Linked DNA regions of Oreochromis niloticus. The protein of the gene in region 1 binds, or shares a complex with, the protein of each later gene. Links are inferred from orthologs where the notes say so. Each region holds a gene or a part of one and is shown on either strand. Other genes may lie near its edges.

Region 1 (8,634 bases):
GCATGCACAGCTGTGATATCATCAGAGCACCAGAACTACATACACTGAAACGGAAGCCTAAGGAAAAAATAAATAAATAAATCACAGATTCATAGGAATAAGCAGTTCTTTTTGGTTTTAAATCTTTATTTCTACCATCTGGAAATCTAAGTTCCTTCACAGATGTGTCATAGAAATGTCTTCACTGACTGACCCGCTTGCACTCTCATGCCTCTAGACTGGTTGTGCCAGGCATACAGGAATACTGTATGCCAAAATGCTGTGAAGTTTCTTTTGGTACTCATGGCTGTCAATGGCAACCACTGAGCTACCTGATAAAGGTTCAAAATCAGGAGGAAAAAAAAACAATCAACACTGTTATTCTTTGCTTTTCTTCTGTGGTCATTTTCTTTGCACTGAAACATTTCTGTATTAATCCCTGTTTAATTATTAAAACCTGTATAAAGCTCTGGAGGCATAAAACACTAATGATGAACAATTAGATCGTGATGATCAGTTTGCTGGATCATTCCAGCTCTGTTTCACTTCATGTGGGGATGATGTGAATATTTCTGAATAAAGATGACTGTGATCAAATGACTTGTAGATTTCCAGACTTAAAAGCAGCTCTAATGAATTCCTAACCATAATCTAAATGTATTTATGTTAAACATAAATACACAAATATATTTGTAAACAATGTTTAAAAACTGCTGTGCATTTATATTTTGAGTATAAATTGAACTGTTACAGTTTGAACCTTGGTTATCTTTTTCACACACTTCACGGATCAATAACTAATCTGCTAGATACATGTGTTTAACTCTGTTACTTGAATTGTTATCACTGTCATGTTGCTGATATATAAATACATTTTAAAATGTATGTGATAAAACTTAGAAACGCAAGCAAGGAAAATTCAAGTTTGGTAAAAGATGAAAATGTGGATAATGAATTTAACTCCTTTCTCCATAACTGAGCTGCAGTGATGATTTTTTCCCCCAGTACCCATAAATGGTCTTAACTGAGCTTCATACTCTGATCAGCAGTTCGACAGTAGAACCAGAGTCTTATAAACCTGATAAACCCAGATAAAAATCTATCTAAAAACCAATGCCTGGCATACTTACTGGGAGTGAGATCAACACTAGCTCAGGGGGGGTCTCAAGTGAGCCATCTCCAGCAGCATATGCTACTGCAAACACATAGGTTTTCAGCCACAGTACATCCACAGCTGTGAGAGACAAATAGGAAAGAGAGACAAGAAATTGGAACATCAACGAAACAGCAAGACTCAGCTCCTCCTTTTCCTATACAATTTGAAATATTTTATGGAATCATTGCAATCTATTACTAATCTATCACCACCAAGATAAAAACCTTAGTGTATGGACCATTTTCATAGTTTAAATTTATATACATAGGTATGGCTACCTTACCTTTTACAGGTTCGCCAGGGGTGAAGAACTGTGGACATGGGATAACTTTCTTTTCCTCCAGTCCCTTTAAAACAGAGGAGAAAAATCTGTTCCTGTAGCTTCCACAGGCTGTTAAGCAATTTGCTTTTAATTCAAAATTATTATAATAACTTACTGGTGTATATTGCGTGACTGTACCATCCATTTTTCCAGCTGCTACTTGCTTTCCCTTTGGACTCCAGCAAACTGTGGTAAACAAAGCAAGTAAACGACTACTGAGCCACATCACCGATATGGACTGCAGATAAATTTAGCAATTATGTCAAGAGTGTCACTCACTGCAGGTAATTCCACTTGAAGAAGGCAGCCTGGCCTGCACATTGACACTGTCAGTAACATCCAAAATCATTATACTGCCATCAGAGAGGCAGACAGCCAACACAGACACCTGCACAGGATTCCACTTCAGGTCCTGCACTAAGACGTCAGGTGCTACAGCTGGTTGGTGGAATGCAAATGGTAGCTTCTGTAGTTTTCCCTGGAAAAGCAAAGAATGCAAATTAAAACAAAAATCAGACAACATCATTACATTTAACAGACAAGGTGAAATTTGGCAGCAGCTGTTCGACTGTGTTAGCACATTAGGTAGACAGACTGAAATAACTACCTTGTTCATGAACGTGCGGACATCATAGAATGTGAGTGACAAGCCAGCTTCCTCAGACATGCCACACACGGACAGTGTGAGCTCATCACAACTGAGAGCCAAGTGGTGCAAAACTAGTTCCACGGTCACTTCAGCCAGTACTGGTATTCCTTTGACTAAAATACGGAAGAAGATGTTAGTGGACAGTGAAACAGCAAAAATTATTAATGACATAAAACATGTGGTGTATCAGTCATGACAACATTGTGTTTTTAACCTGTCATTATTGCACTATTTAAAACTGTAGTGGATTCATACCTATTTCGTTGGAGTTGCCATCACCTTTATCAGCAGCCAGAATATCTCGAGTTAAGTACACCTTGAAAGTTCTGTCAAGCCCCACAAAAGTTAAGCCATACTTATTTGAGATGGCAAGGAGGCTGGATCTGTCTTTTGGCAAATCTTCGGTGGGCTCAAACACTCTGACTTTCTTCATCTGACGAAACTGAAAATCCTAAAACGAAAGGCAAACACTTTCATTTCATGGTAAACTGTTATGAACTGTTAACAACTGTGGGTCCACTTAGGTAAATGCAAACGCAGCGTCTTTGAGACAGAATAATACAAACTGTAAATAAACATTGTTGACAAGCTAGCTGGTGAGCCTGAAGGGTGATCTCAAAGCCAAATGTTTGTAATGCCTCTCAATTAGCACAATGCTAACACGTTACAATATCGTGTTAGCTATCGGTGCAAGGCTTGTTGTAATATTACAGCAATACATAAAACTTAAACATAAAAAAAATGCAACGTGTGTTAGAACACGTTATTTTACAAATGCATAATTTAATAGGACGAATCCACCCAACACAGCGGCGTTTAACTTTACAAGCACAACATCACACCGGCTACGGTGCTAACCCTAAGTAGCGGGCTAAAAATATGGCATGAATGAAACTGCCGTAACTACTTTTAATTTAAATGCTTTTAAACCGCTGTGAAAGTCTCTAATGTTTTATCGTATCAAAGTAGTCATTACAGTTCAGTAAATATCGTGAGGCTAAGGATACCTAAACCAGAAAACATAACCCACGACAAGTGGCTTGTTTAGCTAGCTAGCTAGCTAAACTAGCCACTACATTGAGGATGAACTGACACGGTAACTTACACATGCTAACCTGTCAAGTCAACTTTAACAGAGACATACCTTCATTTCCCTCTCAGGAGGGGAGTCCGCATCGTCACTCATTGTGAAATTTTGAGGGTTTTTCTTCCAAAAGACCTGCTGTATTCGTTTATTTCTTGCTAGTATGTACCACAGAAAGTTTTGGTTAGCTACATCAGGACAACTAAACACACACCGCGCGATTTTTCCGTAGAAAAAACAAAAACCAGCTAGGATGACGAGTAGATACCAGAGCAGCTTGCGGGAACACGAGCTCATACAGTCGCGTATGTTCCAGAGTTGCAATTAAAGGTTGAGTGAAAGGCATGTGTGTGTGTGTGTGTGTGTGTGTGTATATATATATATATATATATATATATATATATATATATATATATATATATATATATATATATATAATTAAAGGTATATATTTTACCTTTTTAATAGTAAGTAAAAAAGTGCATAAAAGTTATGTTTGTGTGTAAGTTTGTATATACATATATGTACTGTATATGTGTGTGTGTGTGTGTGTGTATATATATGTATATATATACATATATGTATACATACATACCCACACGTGTGTGTATACGAAAACATAACTTTTATGCATTTTTTTTACTTACTGTTAAAAAGGTCACACTTTTTACAGTAATATAATAGCACTTTTTCCACCAACAAAGTGATTTCCATGAGCCATTAACCAAAACTTATAATAGTGTTGGCTAATAGTTAATCTACAATTCTACTGTTCGAAGCTTCAGCATAAATTATCTAAATGGACTGGTGGCTGTCAGGGAATGGAATAAAAGCCAGCTAAGCCAGCAAAGGAGAGCTCTGATTGTCCTTCAAGAATCCTGGAGAACGATCCTTGAAGACTAGTTCAAGAATTTACAAGAGTTCAGGCTGTATTCAAGGATAAAAGTAGTCATACCAAATACCGACTTTCAATCTTGTTAGAGTTGAACACATTCTTTCACCTCACATACCATATATTCATGCATGTTTCAATAAACTGCTGCATCTTCAGTATTTCTCATTTTCATAGCAAAATAAATTTTAAAAAAGATTGTAAGAATGAGTGGTAGCTTAATAAGAGCCCCCCCCAGTACATATAAATATTTATATATCATAAAGATGAAATGCTTAGGTTAAGATGGTTGATTTGGATCGATCCAGTGTTGCCTGCAATTCTAAACCTGTGCCTTTATGAAATAAAACTGGCTGTATACTGTATGTTACATTCATCTTTGAAGGGACTCCAGTGACTCATCCAGCAAAATTTAACACCATTTTAATGACACAAGCATTTCACAGCTCAGTGGCACAGACAGTGAGAATTATTATTGTCACTAATTTGTCTTCTTTCTGCTGGAATCTCATTACTTACATGTTTGAAGCCATGCAGAGCTACAATAAATTGCAACTTCCAGAGAAAAATATATTTCAAGTGCATCCTTTTGTAGGTACTTTGGCAAACGCAAAGAGAGACAAAAGACAGTATATGGTGAAGTAAGGACTTTTATTAGAAAGCAGATTTTTCTGTATTGCATTTAAAGAAATTGGGTACTCTTGGACTATACAACTTAAAACTGGTGATGGCAAATATGATGGGAATGAAAGGTAGATTACATCAAAAGTGGCAACTTGCATTTCTGTTGTATATATTATTGATGCTTGAGTCAGAAGGCGCATAAACATCTTTTTCATTTGAAACATAAAGCGGCATCAACACTGAAATTGTCCCATCCCAGTTTGCCTGATCCAAGCCCAGCTGATAGTGAAGAACATTACCATGATCGGTGTAGGGTTGTTGTCCATCAAAGGGCTCAGGACCACCTCCAGAACATGCTTACCAGAGCATGACAGATATGGTCCATGTCAACATGGGGACAGCTCTGTTTGCAAAGCACCAAAGTTTGACTCAGTCCTGGTTGTAAAGACACACACTTATAACCAAGAAGGCTGGAGATAACATCACCATGTCCCTCCACTCTGGAAAGGAAGCTAGCACAGACTGAAGCAAGCTGAAGAAAGACAAAGCAAACAGCAAGAGCACATAGCAAGTCATACCGTATCTCCCATAGTGCACTTTGGGTCTCGTCCTATTCTGATTGTCAGCGCTCTGAACACATGGCTTTAAAAGTTGCATTTACCCCTCATTTGCCTAACACCCAGTTGCTCTCAGTGTTTTTCCTTTCACCTTTCCAAGTAGTTCTAAAGTGCTGGCGTTATGTACAAGGACACGTAAATACACATACAAACCTTCAGTGCATTTTCTTCCGAGTGTGCTGAGCTGTGAACACACTGAACTGTGTACTTGGTCTCTGTATTCCACTCTTTGTCACTACTTTGCTGTCATTAATACAAGAAATTCAGCTTTATGCAAACATTCAGCGAAAGGCCAGGTTGTATAATAAAAAAATCCAGCCCTGCTCACCACAGGACACCTCAATCTTTGTTTACTAACAGTGACAAGAGTTATTCAGCATAAAATACATGGTGCATAAAGATCAGAGGTTTCATTGGGTTGCGGTGAGTGTGCGAATGGCATGCATTTTATGGTACAAGTGTCTCTTTGCATATAAATGTATTGTTTTTCATGATGAGCCAGTCACTGGAACAAAAAACTACAGTGTCCGTGTGGGGGTGAGCAGAGCCCGATGCAAAGTGAGGAAGAAGTTATTTGCAATAAAATACCCTCTATTCAATAACCATCCAAGAAAAACTAAAAGTTTGATATAAATGAGAAACACGTCAGATACATAACATACGTGTAACTGGACTTTTCTCTTTTGGCCACGTCAATCTTCCCAAGGGTTAACCATGATATTCTCCATTTATAGTGCAACATCGTTCATTTACCCTGCACAAGAAAAGGATCAAACCCCAAGTGCTGTTAAAGGATTATTTTTCTGCTTTGTTTTTTTTTTTTGATGGCTTTGTTTTGCAGCGGGGCAGAAAAGGTGAATGAGCTGGTCAAAACCGGCGCATGATAAGGAAACCGTGCGTAAAAAAAGAAAGAAAACCCCCCCGCCCCAAACAACAACAACAAAAGCCCGCCACACCTTAAATGTGATTAACTGATGAACAGGTTTGACTATACTTGACTATACTACGAATGAGATTTCATTTGAATTTCTTCCAAGGGTGTTCAACCAGATTCCTTAAGAGGTGTGCTGTAAATATGTAATACTGGGCTGGTGAGCCAACATGATGGAAAACATAAAGCAAGAATGTAAGGTGAATAAATGACTACATTATTAATATCATTTATTAGATTAAAAATTACTAGTTTGGAATTTTAAACTCGAAAATGGCCCAAAAAAAGTGTTATCTGGCTATATTTAGTAGATCCTTGGTCTTGTTTGCTTCTGAGCACAAAGTAATGGCACACATCCACACCCACACATTCACAGTCTAAGGCACTGCTCCACACCCCTTTAATACTACAGTGGAACATATCCATGTTTCCCACCCGTTATTATTTACTGCTTTATTTTAATTGCAGCTGATTTCATATTCCCCATGTATTTAGTATCTCTGCGAAAGTCCGCCTATTCAAAAAGATCAAAATCAAAGATTTATTTTACACAAAAACACACAGAGAGAAATATTAAATACAAAGCATATCACACTCATTGCCCAGTTTACCAACTGAGTAGAAAGGTTTCTCTCTCTTTTTTTCTGAAGCTATAACAGCTACTTTCTATATTTTCCAAAATAAAGGCTACACATATCCATTTCTCAAGTCTGTTACTCTGACTGGCATAACCAGAAGTGATCAGACATTTAAGTGGCTCAAATAGACAACTGAATATTGTTTTCTTTTTTTCCCTGCAAGAAAAACCTGTAAGAATAATAAACGAAAAATGATATGAAGGTACAATTTGCAAAATCTCTGTGTTAAAAAAAAAGATCAAATAAACAGAGGGAAAAAGTCTGCACTGCATGTGAACCTTGCTCAGTTTTGCACATAACGATGTTCACTACACTGGAAGACCTGTTCGTGGTTTGAAAAAAGAAAAAAAAAAAATCACTATATCAATAAAGCTTTAGGTTTAAACACCACCCAGCCTCACATTAATTTTATATTATGGCATATTTTGTAGAATTTACTATACTCAAATCAAAGCTTGGACCCTCACCACAGCAGTGCTACAGATTACATTCATCCATCATCCCAGCCATCGTGTCACAGTCTTGTTTTATCTACGGCAGATCGCATTTATTCCCAAAGAAAATAAACACTATAAACCTTTTTGTTACTACCTAGTGCAATTATAACCCTGTGTTTCTTGTGCAGGGCCATCTTAAAACTTCCCCTAACAGACCCTGAAACAAGAGCACAGACAGAGACTAGTCTGGCCCCGCTCATGAAGTGGCAAAGCATATATTTGGAGAATAGTATTAGTACTAAGCCTGTCAGTTCTTAACTTAACCTCTCACTCTCTGTAGCAGAAACCCACTTTCCCCAAAATGTTGGCGGCTTCTCTTTCACTTAAATGAATCTCTGTGCTTTCGTTTGCTGATAGGGAGAAAAAAAAGAGATAGGGAAGATCTATGCATGGCACAACGAAGAAAGGCTGTGTGGCAAAAAACAGATATCAAAAAGAAGAAATCAGGTATGACGAATGCAGGTTTAAAGTCCCTGTTGGACATTGCTTTGCTCCCCCCACCCCCTCTCCAAAACGTAGAAACAGTCATTGTCAGAGAGACTCGTTTCAGGTGTTGTCGTTACAGCCTCTCAATTAAAAAGGTCCACGTTACCTCCCTCAGCTTCTCGGCCCTTTACCTTCTTTTGAGTGCAAATGCAATAAGCCAGCATAAATTGCTCTTATAAGTTTGATTCAATAATTTACCCACCCACCCAAAGAAAAAAAGAACAAACAGTAAAACAAACAAACAGCCAGGTAGGAAGCAGGACTGCGTAGTATCGGTGCATATCACACCACCACCACTACATCATCGAGGTGGAACAGTGCTTCTCTCTAACATTCGTTCTTCTACCGCCCAGTGTAGTGCACTTCTTTACTACTCCATATATCCAGTCTCCTCTGCTCATGGGCACAGCACACTCTTTAGTTTTAAAAAAACAAAAACAAACAAAAAACAAATAAAACAACAACAACAAAAAGAAAGACATTCCAACTGTTACTGTGTAAATCCTGGGTCACAGCTCGATCAGTTCTAACATGCGTCAGACTGCGGTCAGGTCCAGCGGGAAACGGAGAGAGTCCTCTTTGAGCGTTAACAGCATATCTCGAGGCAACGCCAGCTGTTATCTTATTTCAATGCAGGTTTGTGGCTTTGTTGGTGTTTTTTTTCCGAGAATTCTTTGTATCCACTGTTTGTATGAATGCATGCAAGCTCGGATTTTTTCTTTCTCTCTCTCTCTCTCTCTCTCTCTTTTTTTTAGTGCA
Region 2 (7,507 bases), on another chromosome or scaffold:
TAAAACAATTTCAGCTATCATTCAAAGGAAATAAACCACTGCATTTTCATCTTACATTGTAGAAGGGCATCTTGCTGAGCAAGGTATCCATCTGCTTGTACATGCTCCTGGCAGCAGGCTGTAAGGTGCCCTGTTTCACCAGCATCTGTCTGACTTCTTCCAACCTGCCCTGCAGCACATAACTCACCACCTGCACAGCACACACATGTGATCACTCAGGTCTCTCCAGAGAATTCATAACAGACAAAACACAGATGAAGCAGCAAATGCAGAACACCAACAGTGGAGATGTAATTTTAAAGATGTAACATGCTGCACCTACCACGTCCCAGTAGTCGTGGTGCTCAGCAGGGCTCTCACTTTGGAGCACCTCTCTGGCCCTCTCGTCCACGTCAGCCTTATGTAACCTTACCCAGTCCAGCAGGTGGAGCAACAGGGAGCCTGCTGAAAACACAGACACAGCCATGTTGCAGATACGTTTGTTTGGGTGTTTCTACAACCCCAAAAATCCAGTCATAAGATGCGGATTCCAACCTGGAGCAGCATCGATGAACAGCACTTCACACAGATTCCAGATCAGTTCTATGGCCAAAAGAATGGACACCTTTAACAAAACAAAGCAGATCAGGGTCAGGATAATGCCACTAAACAATGCAACGAAATGTACATCTGAGTAAAAAACTGAATGTGGATTCTTCCTCACTAACTGAGCATTAATGTCCCCTTTCAAATACAGGCAGTTTGACTGTGGTCATAAAACCCACAGAGCTGTGCCACGCTACTCAATTAAATCATGACATTATTAGTCAATTACTGACAGAGACACTCACACATGCTCTGTATGTGGACTAGTCCAGATAACGTTACTGCCACACAAACATTAGTACTTACCTGATTTCCACACTGAGTGGCCAACTCTACATTTCTGGTAGAAACTGCAAAAAGGAAAAGTTGTTTAGTGAGTAATCACACACATTTCCTTTGTTTTTATTGTATAAACAAGACTATAAAATAGAAATTTGAAAAAACTGCCAAAACTTTTATGGTTACATCAAATTGAAATTTTTTGCCAAAAGAAGTATATTTCAACAGTATTACCTGCAACTTGCTGAAGTTCCTCCATACAAGCACGGATCACGGATCGATAATTTTTGCTGATACTAACAAATCTAAGGAGTAAGGCAGAGGTAAAATTGTAAAACATACAAAGTGGGTGCTGCTTTGTGTGACTTTTTCAACTATTGTTATGCCACCGATATGCAATCCAACAATATGAACAAACAGAGGTGGGATTGCACCACGCGTCCTTACTGGGGTTTTTTACTCTTGCTAGGGAGTTCCTCTCTAATTGTCTGCAGGCCGACGAAGATGTGGTGAGACTCGTTAAAAAGCTTGCGTAAAATGGGGGAATATATGTCCTCATCTTTCCTGATCTCATGGATGAATGAGCAACCTGATCCTGAAGCACCTGAAACAAAGGCAGGTGGTGAAAGAACAACAGTAATATTATAGTTATTGTCATTACACATATAAAACAAAATTTAAATGTCTGAAAAAAATGGCTCAAAATATGTTTATTGAAAAATGTATATATGCACATGTCTAAAAGTAATCATAAAAACTATAGTAAAACACATCAAACAGTGCTATGAAAAAGTTACCTAAACAATAAACTAAATTAAAACAATTCTGCCAAGATGAGTGGGTACAGCGATGTGAAAGACTCGCTGCCAGTTATCCCAAATGCTTGATTGCATTACTTGCTGCCAACAGTGGCACAGTCAGTTACTAAGTTTGGGGGCAATTACCTTTTTAAGAAAAAAACAAAAACAAAACAAAACACAACAACAGGGCCTGATAGCACTGATTGCCTTTTATATTTCATCTGGTCATCAAAAATCAAAATGTGTTTGATAATATGAAACATGTAAGTGTGACAAACACGCAAAAAAAAAATAAGACATCAACAAGCGGAAAATACTTTTTCACAACATTGTAGCAGACATTTCACAGGCATTCACTACACCATTCATTCTCTTAAAAAGAAAAGGAGAAACAGAGGGAAACTGTGAAAGCATACATGGTGTCCTGTGCTAATTTTGAAACATACCTGATGCTTTGTATAGTGTCTCATATACAAGAATATCACCAGGACCCCATGCAAATCCCATGTGCTTTCCATCACTGATTGCAGGGATATTCTGCAATTAAAAAAGGAGAAACACTGTTACTACACTGAAAATGATGTGAATAACATGATGAGGGTTAAAATTAAATCATTCCGTTTCAGATTTAATTATAATATTATGTGAGAAGGTTGAGTGGTGACTGAGACATGGTCTAGCTATATTACTAACTCAAACTGTAGTTAATGCTGCTCGTAATTCTAACTCATCTTCTTATAATCTTGCCACTTTTATACTTGTGACATGGCTGAGTGTGTGCCCCTTTCCATTTCTTGACAACTTACAATATAAATATTCAAACGGGTCGTTAAAATAGGTGTTTGCGAAAGTTAGCCTGTTAGCAAAGCCATTTAGTGCCAATGAGGAGTTAAAAGCACTAAGCTACAGTGGCTACTTACAGTAATAGTGGGCTCAACGTCTACCTCCTCCATCTGGGAACAATATCATCGACACAGAAAAGACAACAATGTGAACTTTTTTGGCTATAAACACGCCATGAACTGCAAATGTGGACCGGTACTGCTTACGCGCCTCGCTCTTTCAGTCGAAAGCACCTGCTGCGCATGCGTTACGATGTCACCGAAAGGGGTGCCCGTCTACCTGCCTGTTTTTCCGTCGGCTGAGCTTGACTCGGGATTTTGGATTTATCGCGACAAATGCAGAAAATACAGCTTATCACTAACTTTATAACTGCCTCCCCGGACTCACCTACGAGAGGTCATTACCAGCATTAAGAAGCTGGGTTTGTCTTTTGCTATCCACAAACATGCTACCCACACTAATGTCTCCAATTGAATCTGTGAAGAATCAGTGCAGCTTTGCCCTGTACTGTTACAGTTTGAGTTCGTAAAGGCCACCATTGGTTCAGTACACCTACACATCACCATCAGGCAAAAACAAAAAAACAAGATGGCCACTGGTATTTAAAGGGTTAAAACGAAAAAGGAAATGGAAAAGTGCACATTTGGCTCTCCCCATGCAGTGAGGATCATGTGTGGTGATGCTGACTGAACTATGCTGCACCCATGCGAGCTCAGCAGGGCGATAAGGGGTATTTAATGAGATAACCGCTTCTCAAAACCTGAAAACAAAAGGGAAAACATCGCCGTGCGCGTGCACGTGCATCTGCCTGCCTCTTTAACGCGCATTGTGACTCTCCCGCCCTTGCCCAGACTGCGCTTTCAACCTCGTGACTACTCGGTGTCCACTCAACGCTCGTTGAGGTGGACGCGCATGGGCGCGTGGCCGCGCACGTTCGGTTGTAATAGTCTAAACGGGCACGTGTACGTGCGCGTACTCGTGTTCTTTGTGTGGCAGTGTAGAGAAGCGCCAAAAGAGTGACCATGGCTGATGAAAAACCAAAGGTGAGTGTCTCCACAGTGGATTGAAATGCCAGTTTACTCCGCCTGATTTTTTTTGACACGTGCGTGTGTAGAAATACGGTTATTTCCGCATGTTTCGCTGTGCCTTTTTGCAAAGTTACAAGCTGAAATTCAACTACTAGCTGTACCTACTTTGATAGACCGGAAGGTTTGTGAACGCGCATCCAATGGCGCGCGGACCTCTTTCTGCTTGATAACACACAGCCAACCAGCTGGTGTCATCCCCACTGCATGCCTCATTTCGCCTGTGTGTGTGTGTGTGTGTGTGTGTGTGTGTTTGTGTGTGTGTGTGTGTGTGTTTGCGTTTGCGTTTGCGTTCTTGCATGTGTGAATGGCTTGTGCCACTGTGGGAGAGTGTACCGGTGAGAATCTGTTGGTGCCACTGAAACTATATGAATCATCACTGTGGTGATCTCAGGCTCACTCTGAGTCTGCAGGCGAAGCGAAAAGGGAGGATTTAAGATTTAAATTTTTTAAATTTTAAATTTTGTTTAATCCGAGAAATAGTTTGTATACAGTATTGTGCAAAAGTCTTGAGCCATCCCTCATTACTCTCTGTTTTGCCTACTCAGTGATCATACCCAAGTTTTCCAGGTCTTTCGTGTTTTTTCCTATTTGGAAAACACATTTCTTTAACTTACTTTTTTTATGCCACAAAAGGCTTAAAATTGTGTTTTTGCACCAACAAAGTGATTCCCACTTTGGGAAAAGACCTAGCATATCTCAGCACTGTGTACAGTGTGTCCTTACATTTTAGGAAATTGGACAAGTGGAGGACAAAAAAGGTTACAGACTTTAAGATGAACAGATGATCAGCATCTGAAATTCATGCCCATAAGAAATGGGAAAAATTCGGCAAAAACCTGACACAGGACCTGAGGCATGCACCTGGACCTTCAGATGATCCATCTACTGTCCTCTGAAGCCTCATCAGAAATGGCAAGAAGCCATTTTCAAGGAAGAGAAAAACGAGGAGAAAAAGCTGAGGTATCAAAATTAGACAAGAACTGAGATTTATAATTTTTTTTGATTTAAATCATCAATATGTACAGAGGAGGTCAAGAGAGAGGTACAGCAGTGAGTGTCTACATCCATCTGTCAAACACAGTGGAGGCTCTGTCATGGTTTGGGTCTGCATTTCAGCCAATGGTGTTGGGGGATCTTGTCACAGCTGATGGAAACACAGAAAAGTACCGTCAGATTTTGATCCACCGTGTAATCATCTGGAAAGCATCTGATTGGCAAAAGGCTCATTTTTGAGCGCAGTAAAAGCACACCTTGGATAAAAAAGAAAATAATTTTTTTTAAAAACAGTGGAACACAATGTCGGTGATGGGTTGGTCTCCCCAGAACCTGAACCTCAACATTATTGAAATAGTGTAGCATCATGTTGAAAGAGATTAGACCAAAAAGCAGTCAACATCCAAAGAAGAGCTTTGAATGTCCTTCAAGAACCTTGGATAACTACCTAGACTACTTAAAGAAATTACAAGAAGGCTTTCCTTGGAGAGTTCAGGCTGTGTTGGAACAATAAAGTCTGGTCATATGAAATATTGATTTTCAAGCTCATACTGTATTCTCAAATACGTTTGCATGTTTCAATAAATTGCTGCAACTATTTGCCATTATCCTAACAAAATATAAGAAATGAGTGGTGGCTCAACACTTTTGCACAGCACTGTATATCTAAACAATTTCAAAATATGCAAATCAAACTGGTCGCGCATTCTCCAGTCCTGGGGAATTTTACGCCTTTGGGCTTATCAACCTTCCTTTTATGGATGCTGACATATCTTTCTGGCAGTTACACATTGTGAAAGTGAAGTCAAACTCATAGCAGTGCTGCTTTTGTACAGCTCAGTCTTTTCCTACTCTGTTTTGGCGATAATGACACGGCTGGGTTGATACTGACATTTGCCTGCTTTCTTCCTCCAAAAGAAAATTGATCAAGAATCAATAAAGAATTAGCACAATTGATAATGTCATGGATATTAATAAGCTCTTGCCAATATTCTTCCCTAGCCACCTGGTGAGCTGTTTAGGTGTGAATTCATTATTTCATCACGCTTCTGCAAAATTAAAAGACCACCGAAGGCACTAAAGGGACTGAAATTACGCATTTAATAATAACAGAAAATACCGTGCAGCCTTTTCCCCCTGCAAACCTGTAACTAGTGCAATGTTCTGGTTAGTCAAAGTCATTTTTTTTTGTTCCTTCACTGTGTTTCTCTCTGTGCTTTTATCCCTCAGGAATCAGTGAAGACAGAAAACAATGAACACATAAACCTGAAGGTAGCGGGTCAGGATGGATCTGTAGTGCAGTTCAAGATCAAAAGACACACACCGCTCATCAAACTCATGAAGGCCTACTGCGAGAGACAGGTGATTATGGCCCTGAGGCATTACACTAACACTGATCATTTCCTAAATGGGCATAGATCTTTATAAGCAGAGTGTAGCTACAGTTAAATAGACTCCTTGTTATTTTCTGTTCTCACCACATGGGGGGAACTCGACTTGGAGTATTATTTCCCCAGAAATATCTGTCGAGTGCTCCTCTGTACACCTCTGCTACTAATCATATATACACTTGATGTAATTGATAGTTAGCTGTTGGATTGTATTCTAAATAACATGTTTAGGTGTTATTAACAATAATCCTGCTTTCTTTTAATTGACCTTTACCCTGCATCGCTGCACACCATTTACAGTTGGCAAAAAGACACGGGTGTATAGAAATAACATTTACTGGGAGAGTTGCCTGCCCTCTGTGGAGCAAGGCTTGCAAGTGCTTACAGGTTATGCTGTTTTAACATCATAAGGAAATCATTACTGGAGTTACTTAATGTTTTAGAGGCCCGACTTTGAAGTTTGCACACAGTTAATCGTGTTTTACAACCGAATAGGATACAATTAAACCATTTACTTTCAATTCTTTGACACTTTTCACACATGCATTTAATGACTGCAGATTATATGTTTGTATTCTAGATGCCAAAAAAAGCAGTTATGCCAGGGCATCTTAAAATTTACCGTAAAATATATGCAGGCATTTTAAAAAGAAGGTTTTCATAGGACTATGTGCGATCCTCTGAAAAACTAAGTACACCTTTACTACTTCAATAGGGATCAAGGGGACAAGTAGCAGCCAGGTGTTGCTAATCAACTTGTACTTGATTAACTCATGCCAACTATTAAGCGAGGTGGAGGGGTCACGATTTGGGTTTGTTTTTAAGCCACAGAGCCACAGGCCGTTTGTCTGACAGCTAAAGCTTGGCCAAAAGTCTCAAATACTTTAATCACATTTAACAGACACATCACGTGCTAAAAGATCCATCCATCCATCAGACAGTAACTCATCACAGTTGTTGTTTCACTTTTCCTTGAAAAGGTTTCTATTGCAGTTCTTCTCTTCCTCCTCAAATGCAGTTAAGGTCTACAGCTTTAATGCAAATACCACCTTGATAGCGTAGCTTTAACGCTTTACGTGGCTCTTGCATCCCTTAAATGAACCTCCCTTATCGTCATCTGTGATTTCACAGTAATCGCAGAAGACATCTAATCTTTTCCTCCTGCTGTTATGGATTAGCTCAGATTTTAAGCTGTTCTCTGCCAAGCTACTTGCTGTAATGGCATGCAGGAATTTTGACTTTTGTATGAATTAGCACTGCACTGAGCATCACTCTGATTCTCTATTAATTGCAGCTGTGTTTGCATTGCTACAAAAGCAATTCCCAAGGTTTTCTAAAAGAGCTGTGCACAAAAGTAAAAAAATATGTAATAGAACATGAGGTCTGAGATCCTTTTTATTTGAAAGTCAAATAAGGGTTCAACTTTGTGGAAGAATGGAAACCCAATCACAGTGTTATCTGTTCCTTGGACTCCCATCAGGGTAAAAGAGATGTTTGTCACACAGCTCTTTTTTTAAAAGTACAGCCA

Evidence for each region. The genes of interacting proteins can lie anywhere in the genome.
Region 2: nup214 (region 1) and nup85 share a complex: the UniProt entries of both Homo sapiens proteins name them as parts of the nuclear pore complex. The link is inferred for Oreochromis niloticus from reciprocal best matches to the Homo sapiens genes NUP214 and NUP85.

The regions. Positions count from the first base shown.
Region 1 is NC_031972.2:19,142,554-19,151,187, forward strand, and holds the start of nup214 (nuclear pore complex protein Nup214), read right to left. Parts: upstream 3,485-8,634; 5' UTR 3,293-3,484; coding exon 3,251-3,292; intron 2,558-3,250; coding exon 2,362-2,557; intron 2,220-2,361; coding exon 2,065-2,219; intron 1,936-2,064; coding exon 1,737-1,935; intron 1,644-1,736; coding exon 1,573-1,643; intron 1,483-1,572; coding exon 1,419-1,482; intron 1,214-1,418; coding exon 1,110-1,213; intron 1-1,109. UniProt on the Homo sapiens protein: Part of the nuclear pore complex. Has a critical role in nucleocytoplasmic transport.
Region 2 is NC_031969.2:17,372,336-17,379,842, reverse strand, and holds the start of nup85 (nuclear pore complex protein Nup85), read right to left. Parts: upstream 3,001-7,507; 5' UTR 2,718-3,000; exon of another isoform or gene 2,714-2,717; intron 2,618-2,713; coding exon 2,585-2,617; intron 2,202-2,584; coding exon 2,111-2,201; intron 1,469-2,110; coding exon 1,312-1,468; intron 1,170-1,311; coding exon 1,099-1,169; intron 936-1,098; coding exon 892-935; intron 605-891; coding exon 535-604; intron 445-534; coding exon 323-444; intron 191-322; coding exon 56-190; intron 1-55. Other genes in the region: small ubiquitin-related modifier 2, read left to right, coding at 3,530-3,550, 5,819-5,950. UniProt on the Homo sapiens protein: Essential component of the nuclear pore complex (NPC) that seems to be required for NPC assembly and maintenance. As part of the NPC Nup107-160 subcomplex plays a role in RNA export and in tethering NUP96/Nup98 and NUP153 to the nucleus.